Linked DNA regions of Coturnix japonica. The protein of the gene in region 1 purifies or fractionates together with the protein of each later gene. This does not show direct contact. Links are inferred from orthologs where the notes say so. Each region holds a gene or a part of one and is shown on either strand. Other genes may lie near its edges.

Region 1 (3,824 bases):
GTTTTCTGAAAATGTATTTAGCCTCAGTTGTCCTCAAATAAATTTATTCCTTCCTTAAATGTTTAGAGTATGTGATGGATGCACTGATGGACCAGAATTTCACAGAACCCACTCCAATTCAGTGCCAAGGCTTTCCACTTGCTCTCAGTGGTCGTGATATGGTGGGCATTGCTCAGACTGGCTCTGGGAAGACACTCGCAGTACGTATTCTTCCCTTTCATCTCCATGCTTACTTTCATTGTTGCCTTGTGGAAATTACCCTTGGCTGCTTGTTACTAGTGTTTGGTCTTAGTACTATAGGCATAAAGTGAGGTGATTGCATATTTTTAAAGCCTTCTTTATTGTATCATGGGTGAGCCTCAGCTCATCTACCCTGTCTTGTTCACAGAAGTGTTTTTTGCATGGTTCTCTTTTGATGTTGAAATGCTTCTATTTTGTCCATGCTTATGGTGTGGATTAAGAAATAGTATGTGCTTTATAGTGTATTTGTCTTACTAAATGTGCAAGTCCAAAGAAATGATGGTTGAGTCTTCATTAATATATTAATCTTATCTGCACTGGTCAAGAAGATATTTCCTTCATTATGAAAAGCATTGTTTAGAGCCAGCATGACTCAGTTCTGCTAATTTAGGCTCCAAATATAAATGTGCCTTTTCTTCAGAGGCACTTAGCAGCCAAGTTTTTCGCCTGTGCCAAAAGCAGATGAGGTGGCTATATCCAGCAGCTCTGGAAATCTCATCTTTTGAATGAATACAAGTATGGTTTAGTAAATGTTAATACAGATGAGATTTATTCCTCTCTCTGAAACATGTAGTGGCTCTTGAAGGGATGTTAGGTTATGTGGGCTTTTCTCATGGCCCAGTTGTCACAGCAAGTGGTCATTAGCATTGAATATTTAAGTCCTCTGTCTTGACATAAAATTTTTTTGTTTCAGTACCTGTTGCCTGCAATTGTTCACATCAACCACCAGCCATACTTGGAGAGAGGGGATGGCCCAATTGTAAGTGCTTGTCAAATCTCTTCTTTCATCTGTATGATGTGGCAACATTAATGAGATGTGTGCTTTAATTGATATATCAGAATAGCAAGTAGAGCACGTTTACAATCACAGTGTGAACATCCCACTCATTAGTTGAAATTCTGTGCGATTGCTGACATAATCTAAAGATATTTCTATGTTTTAGCTAATAGAGAGCAGATGGTCTTGCTTTGCTTATGGTATTTGAGTAGAGTCCTTGAGTTAGGGCTGTGTCTACAGCTTGGCTAACCTGAATTGATTCCTTCTGCAGTGCCTGGTTCTTGCACCTACCAGGGAGTTGGCCCAGCAAGTGCAGCAGGTTGCTGATGATTATGGCAAATGTTCAAGGCTGAAGAGTACCTGCATTTATGGAGGAGCACCCAAAGGTCCCCAGATCAGAGATCTAGAAAGAGGTAATTTAATTTAGATTTTAAAATGTGTGGTTGCAAATTTCCAGAGTGGTGAATTTGGAAGCAATTTTAAAGCCTGTTTGAAGAGGTATTGGTGGTTGAGTAGCTGTCTCTTCTCCCCCTTGGAATGATAGCGCATGTGGTAATTCTCTGTTGTGTAATGACTTATTTGGATATTAGACATTCTTTATGATTTATCTTTGGACTTGTGAAGGTCATTGGAACTTGTTCTTAAGGATTAAGCTCACTGCTCATGGCACCTCCATAAAGTTCTGCAATTGCCTTTCTTAACATAGTAAAGGGATGTAGTTTAGAATAAGAAGGTGCCATGTTTCTGCAGCAACAATAGTAGCACTCTGGCGATTTAGCCTTGTATCAGGGGCTATCTGCGTGTCATTTCAAAGGCAGGAATGTTCTGAGGGTTTAACCTTCTCTAGGCTAAAAAAAAATGGGTGTAATTCTGTGAGAAGATGTAAGATGAAACTCACATGCTCAGATCTGCTCAAGAAATCACAAATCTTTACTTAGTGCTGTGGTGTGAAAAGTTATTATTGAACACTGCAGTATCAGGATAAAATTGTGTGGTAGAAGGCTGTGGGATAGTTCCGTTCAATAGAACGGCAGTGCACTCCTGTTCAGAAGCAGCATCATCAGTGGGTGAGACAGTATTAGATGAGAAGACGGTGAAGGGGTCAACTTGTTTTTTCGGAAGCAGAAATTTTACCTTGTTGGTTATAGAACATGGGCAGATAAGAGTGTCTTTGGAGCATTACTTAGTATTTACTGCTGCAAAGATTGTTGAATAGAGTTCATAGAACACACTTTTGACTCAGTTTTGCTTTTCTGGATATCTGGTGAATTTGCTTTGGGAGGAATACATCACTGACAATAGAGCGCCGGTTTTTTCAGTGTCTTTAGCAAACCTATGACTCCATTAATAGGCTGATTCTTGCATGAGCTTTGTCAGATTAATCAGCTTCAAGGAGCCCAAGTTGACACAAACAAGAATCAGGGCTGCCACAGCATACTGTTCATCTGAAACTGAAGCATCTATGAAAGTCTTGGGGTTTTGTGCTGCTTTTTGTTTGTTCTTTTTCTTTGATTCACTTCTTGGCTTAACTTAACATTTATGGGTATTTCTGTGATACCAAGGAACTCGCCTCCGAGGCTGGGAGGTTGGTGGAAAGGGGTCCTTCATTTTAAGGAATGTATAAACATACTTGATGCTTCTTTGTGAATACTTGAATTCTGTTTTGGTGCTAACAGTCATGGGCTTGGTGATTCACAATTATAGCATAATTATTCAGTATTAAAAGCCATGCTTTAACTTTCCGTGACTTAAAATTAAAAGGACAAAAGTAGAAGCAAAACTGATTTGACTTGTGCGGCAAGGGATACACTGATGCTTGTTAAGCAGGTTGAGTTTAGTTGTAGCTCACTATTATTTTTCCTAGAGAGCTCTAGATTGTATAATCGTGGATGAAAGGGCATCAGGGTTGCGTAGAAGCTTATTTTGGGGCCGCTGTTGTTCTGTGCTCTTAGCTGGTGTTTTCTGACAGTAAGCTTTTAGCTTCTGTACTGCATTTATTGTTCTAATGGCACTGCAACAGTAACTTCAGAATGGGAAAAAAAATGAATTATTAAAAGAAACTAGGGCTTCTACTGAAATGACTCAATCTTGGATATGGATGAGGGTGGTGCTTTTTTATCTTATTTAAATGGTTTTGCTCTAGAAGGTGATTCATTCTGACTAAAAATACCAATTGACATTCAAATGAAGAGCCTTATTCTTTTTTCCTCCTTCTGTTTCAAAGGTGTGGAGATCTGCATTGCTACACCAGGTCGCTTGATTGACTTCCTTGAGGCAGGAAAGACCAACCTTCGTCGGTGTACATACCTTGTGCTGGATGAAGCAGATAGGATGTTGGACATGGGCTTCGAACCCCAAATTCGCAAAATTGTTGACCAGATCAGGGTGTGTGAACCTTGTAAAAAAAAAAAAAACAAAAAAAACAGCCTCCTTCAGCTTCCCATCCAAAGTCCACAACCTTAAACCTTTTTCCTTTTCTCTTAGCCTGACAGGCAGACTCTAATGTGGAGTGCCACCTGGCCCAAAGAAGTGCGCCAGCTCGCTGAGGACTTCCTGCAGGACTACGTTCAGATCAACGTAGGGAACTTGGAGCTGAGCGCCAACCACAATATCCTGCAGATAGTGGATGTGTGCATGGAGAGTGAGAAAGACCATAAGTATGTTGGTTTTTCCTAGTGTTTATGGGTTGTTTAGGCTATATTATAAAATCAGCATTGTCGAATATGAATTCTGAATAGTGGATTTACTCTGAGGTATTGCTTAACCTTTGAATGTTACCAGGCAGAAATAAGTCCTGTATTTATCT
Region 2 (3,620 bases), on another chromosome or scaffold:
AATTGATGTGAAATTGTTGCTTCTTCCAAAAAGAAACAAGGTAATGGACAGAACTCAAACTGACAGCAGGGAGAGATTTGGGACAGAAGGAAGAGACAGCAGAAGAAGCAAATTCATTGCATGTCTGGGGAATTATCTTTTTCCCCTGTAGGTGGTTGTTGATGCATGTCCTAGACATTCCTAGTTCAAAAGGGAAGTTTGTTTTGTGACAGAAACTCTAACTTTTCAAAGCTGATGGAAAAGTACTGTGACAGTTCATGGTGTAGTGAGTTACCGTGTCCTGCATTAAGTCCTCGCCAGATGAACAACTCTCTGTGATTAAAATTATAGAGTGCACAATCATATTGGTGTGCTTATTTGCAATTTCACAGATTCATGTAATTCAAGTGATTTTATTCCAAGTGTATTCAGTGTTTCAGCGCTTTGTTCATAGTGTGTGTTTTTTCCGATAGGTGAAAGTTTTAATTTTCACAGAGTGCTCCTGTCTAAATGTTGAAGAATAAGTACATTCGATATGAATGAGATGCATTTTATGTAAATTACTTCTCTTTGTTGCACACGCACCATATGGGGGATCTGTGGGTTAATGTAGTTTATAAAGCCATCCTTCAACTCCATGCTATGCATTAGTTCCACTAAATGTATTTACCGGACTGAAAGCTTGGTGATGTATGTGCCACTGACAGATTCTGCTTTTTAATACTTCCTGTCTGAATAAATCATGTCTCTCATTTCAGGACTCTGCAGACAGTGGGACCATCTCATGCCAGGACGTACACAGTAGCTGTCTATTTCAAAGGGGAAAGAATAGGATGTGGTAAAGGCCCAAGGTATAGTGGAAAAAATTAATCTCATGCAGTTAAACTTTTATCTGTATGTGACAATGTCCAGAATGACTCACCATGATGAAGTTTGGTAATAGTCTGGTTAGCCTTAGAAACTAAAACTGTGGGGCATTCTTTGGGTCATTCTGAGTTTCTGCATCAGAAGTACCGTAAGACCTGAATGTTGGTGTACTTCTGGGTCTTAAGCTTCATTTTTTTGTGAACTTCAGAACCAGGTGGCCAGCAATAATCTCCTATTTGCTGCTCTCAGAGTGGAAACTGCAGAACAAACTGCTGGAAATAATAACTTCATCTTTGGCTTTAATGCTAGATTATTGTTCAGTATAGGCTGGCAAAGTTGGAGTGCAAAATTCTTAATTTTCATCAAATGTTATCACTTTAGGTATTTTGGAATATCTTCTAAAATTACACAGTTTACAACCACACACACAAAGTAAATCATCTTATTTTGTGCTACTAAAACTGGTAGTGTTTATAAAAATATCTTTGGCTTCTGAGAGTTCATGCCTCTGATTTTGTTCCTTTTTTTTGGTCACAGCTGAAAAACTTGAGCAAAGGATAAAGTAGATTATTTTGTTAACATTATTGATCTAAGTTTTAAAGTGTTCTATTGGAACTGTCGTGCTATTGCTCTCATAATCATAGAAAGGATAATATATACTCTGGAAATTTCTGGTTATCCAAAGAGTTTTGTAATAAAACTCTGTCTTGTAATAACATTACTAGATACTTCAGTTTATTCTGTACAAGTTAAATCATATTTAACATGTTTTTGTTTGACTTTCATAGTATTCAACAAGCAGAAATGGGAGCTGCGATGGATGCACTTGAAAAATGTAAGATATTGGAGCAACAAAAAAACATTGCCTTTAGTTTGGACTTCACTGTAAGGTGCAGGCTTTGTCTGGGAACAAAATCAAACTCAGAATGTACTGAATGCTTTCAGATTCTGATTAACAGGTTTGCTTCTTAGTCCTTGTAAGCAATTTTTTAAACGCCTATGTAGGCATCATTTGTCATTTCAAAGAGAGTTGACACGTTACAGCAAATGTATCATGAAGGGAACCATGTGTTGTAGTCTCATTTAGATTTTATTCCATACTTTAAAATGCAGTGGGATAAACCTTCTTAGTCTGACAGTGAGGCTATCTATCTTATGTTGTAATTCAGAGGAAGAGGAAAATTAATTTTAAATTGCCAATTTGATTGCACATTTTACAGTAGATAGGTTAAAATCTAACAGGCAGGTCCCCATTCAGTGTAAGCTGATACTTTCCTGTTAACAACAGTTCGTATCAGCTGAAGGTACAGTGATCCTTGCCTGCATCTTTCAAAATTATGCAAAGGAATGCCAGCATGGGAACAGTTGCAATGAAATTTGAAGTGAAAGAAGTGAGCGTATGCAGACGTCTTATATGAAGACCAGTCTCTTGAGTTAAAGTGCAGGTATTGCAAACAAATAGATGACGTGTTCTGTACAGCAAAAGAAGCTCTCTGTGTGGAGAGGCTAAAGGTACATTTTTACAACTGATTGAAATATCTGCAGCTCCCCAGATGCCAAAGTTTTTTAATCTATTATGTCTGCATGTGGAAATTGCAGGACTTAGACTTTCAAGAGACAATGAATCCCTGTCATTCCAGGGATTTCAGACTTATTCATATCCACCTGCTAGGTATAGGCATCTCACCCGCAGTAAATCTGACGAGTAGAAGATGCAACTTCTCCAGCAAACAACTGCAGAATCTTCTGGAATTTTTCTTTCTGTTTACTTCTAAGGGTTCACTCTCAAAGAGCTGTGAACTTCACCCCCTGTTTTAGTGTAAGACTTCTCACTGCTCTTTTCTGACATACATTTTGGCTTGGGTGCCATGGACTTATCTAGGTAGAGGGGATCTCTAGAGGTCTCTATTCCATCTCTTTCTCAAAGCAAGCTCTACTTTGAAGTTTGATCATACTTCTCGGGTCAAATTTTGAGTCTCTTTAAGAGATAGAGGCTCTATAGGCCCTATAGGCACTGGTATGAAGATTTATGGAGAGGTTTCAGGGTTTTTTTTGTCTTGTTTTAAGGAATATATATGTAGTTAATTTCAAGTAAAATTCATTTTCATGTACCTCTTTATACATAAGTTGCTCTGAAGTTAACACCTATTTATTTCCATGGAAACTACACAGTTCCCAACAATGCTATTTGACAGAACAAATTCTCAGCTACAAAACAGTTTTTCAGCCAGTCACCGCCATCAGCTATACATTTTTGCCAGCAATGGACAGCCTGCATGCCATGCTCTTAAACATCAGTGGAGGTGATCTGCTGCCCCCACTACTGAAACACACCACCCTCTGCCTCACTGTGTTCACATGTGCTGTTTGGTCATCATAACTCTGGCAAGCTTCAGTGAATGTCAGTGGGTGCCATTGTTTCTGCATGGGAGAAATCAGTGATGCACCATTGCTTTGTATGCACTTCCATGTCAGATGCTATTCTGTCAAACTGCCCCTCTGCTGCCATCTGTCACATGGCAACAAAATGTAATGGAACATTGGTGGGAAGGTTCAACTTCTACTACCATACCACTAACATCTGCCTCTGACCTCCCGGGCCAACAAAATAAAATAAGAGGCATTACTTTTGGATCGGGGCTCATATATCTTATAGTCATGATATGTTTATTACATAAATTTATTTCCCTATATCATAAATGAGTTATAAATGAAACTGGTTGCTACCGAGCTGAGTTCTGCAGGTTCTTAAAGAATCACGTTACAGGCACAGC

What was found.
Region 2: the proteins of DDX17 (region 1) and DROSHA purify together in Homo sapiens (co-immunoprecipitation; 3 studies listed by IntAct, with this or other methods). This does not show direct contact. The link is inferred for Coturnix japonica from reciprocal best matches to the Homo sapiens genes DDX17 and DROSHA.

Annotation. Positions count from the first base shown.
Region 1 is NC_029516.1:46,430,876-46,434,699, forward strand, and holds part of DDX17 (probable ATP-dependent RNA helicase DDX17), read left to right. Parts: intron 1-66; coding exon 67-200; intron 201-934; coding exon 935-1,000; intron 1,001-1,289; coding exon 1,290-1,431; intron 1,432-3,242; coding exon 3,243-3,403; intron 3,404-3,502; coding exon 3,503-3,675; intron 3,676-3,824. UniProt on the Homo sapiens protein: As an RNA helicase, unwinds RNA and alters RNA structures through ATP binding and hydrolysis.
Region 2 is NC_029517.1:60,505,470-60,509,089, reverse strand, and holds part of DROSHA (ribonuclease 3), read left to right. Parts: intron 1-737; coding exon 738-830; intron 831-1,634; coding exon 1,635-1,681; intron 1,682-3,620. UniProt on the Homo sapiens protein: Ribonuclease III double-stranded (ds) RNA-specific endoribonuclease that is involved in the initial step of microRNA (miRNA) biogenesis.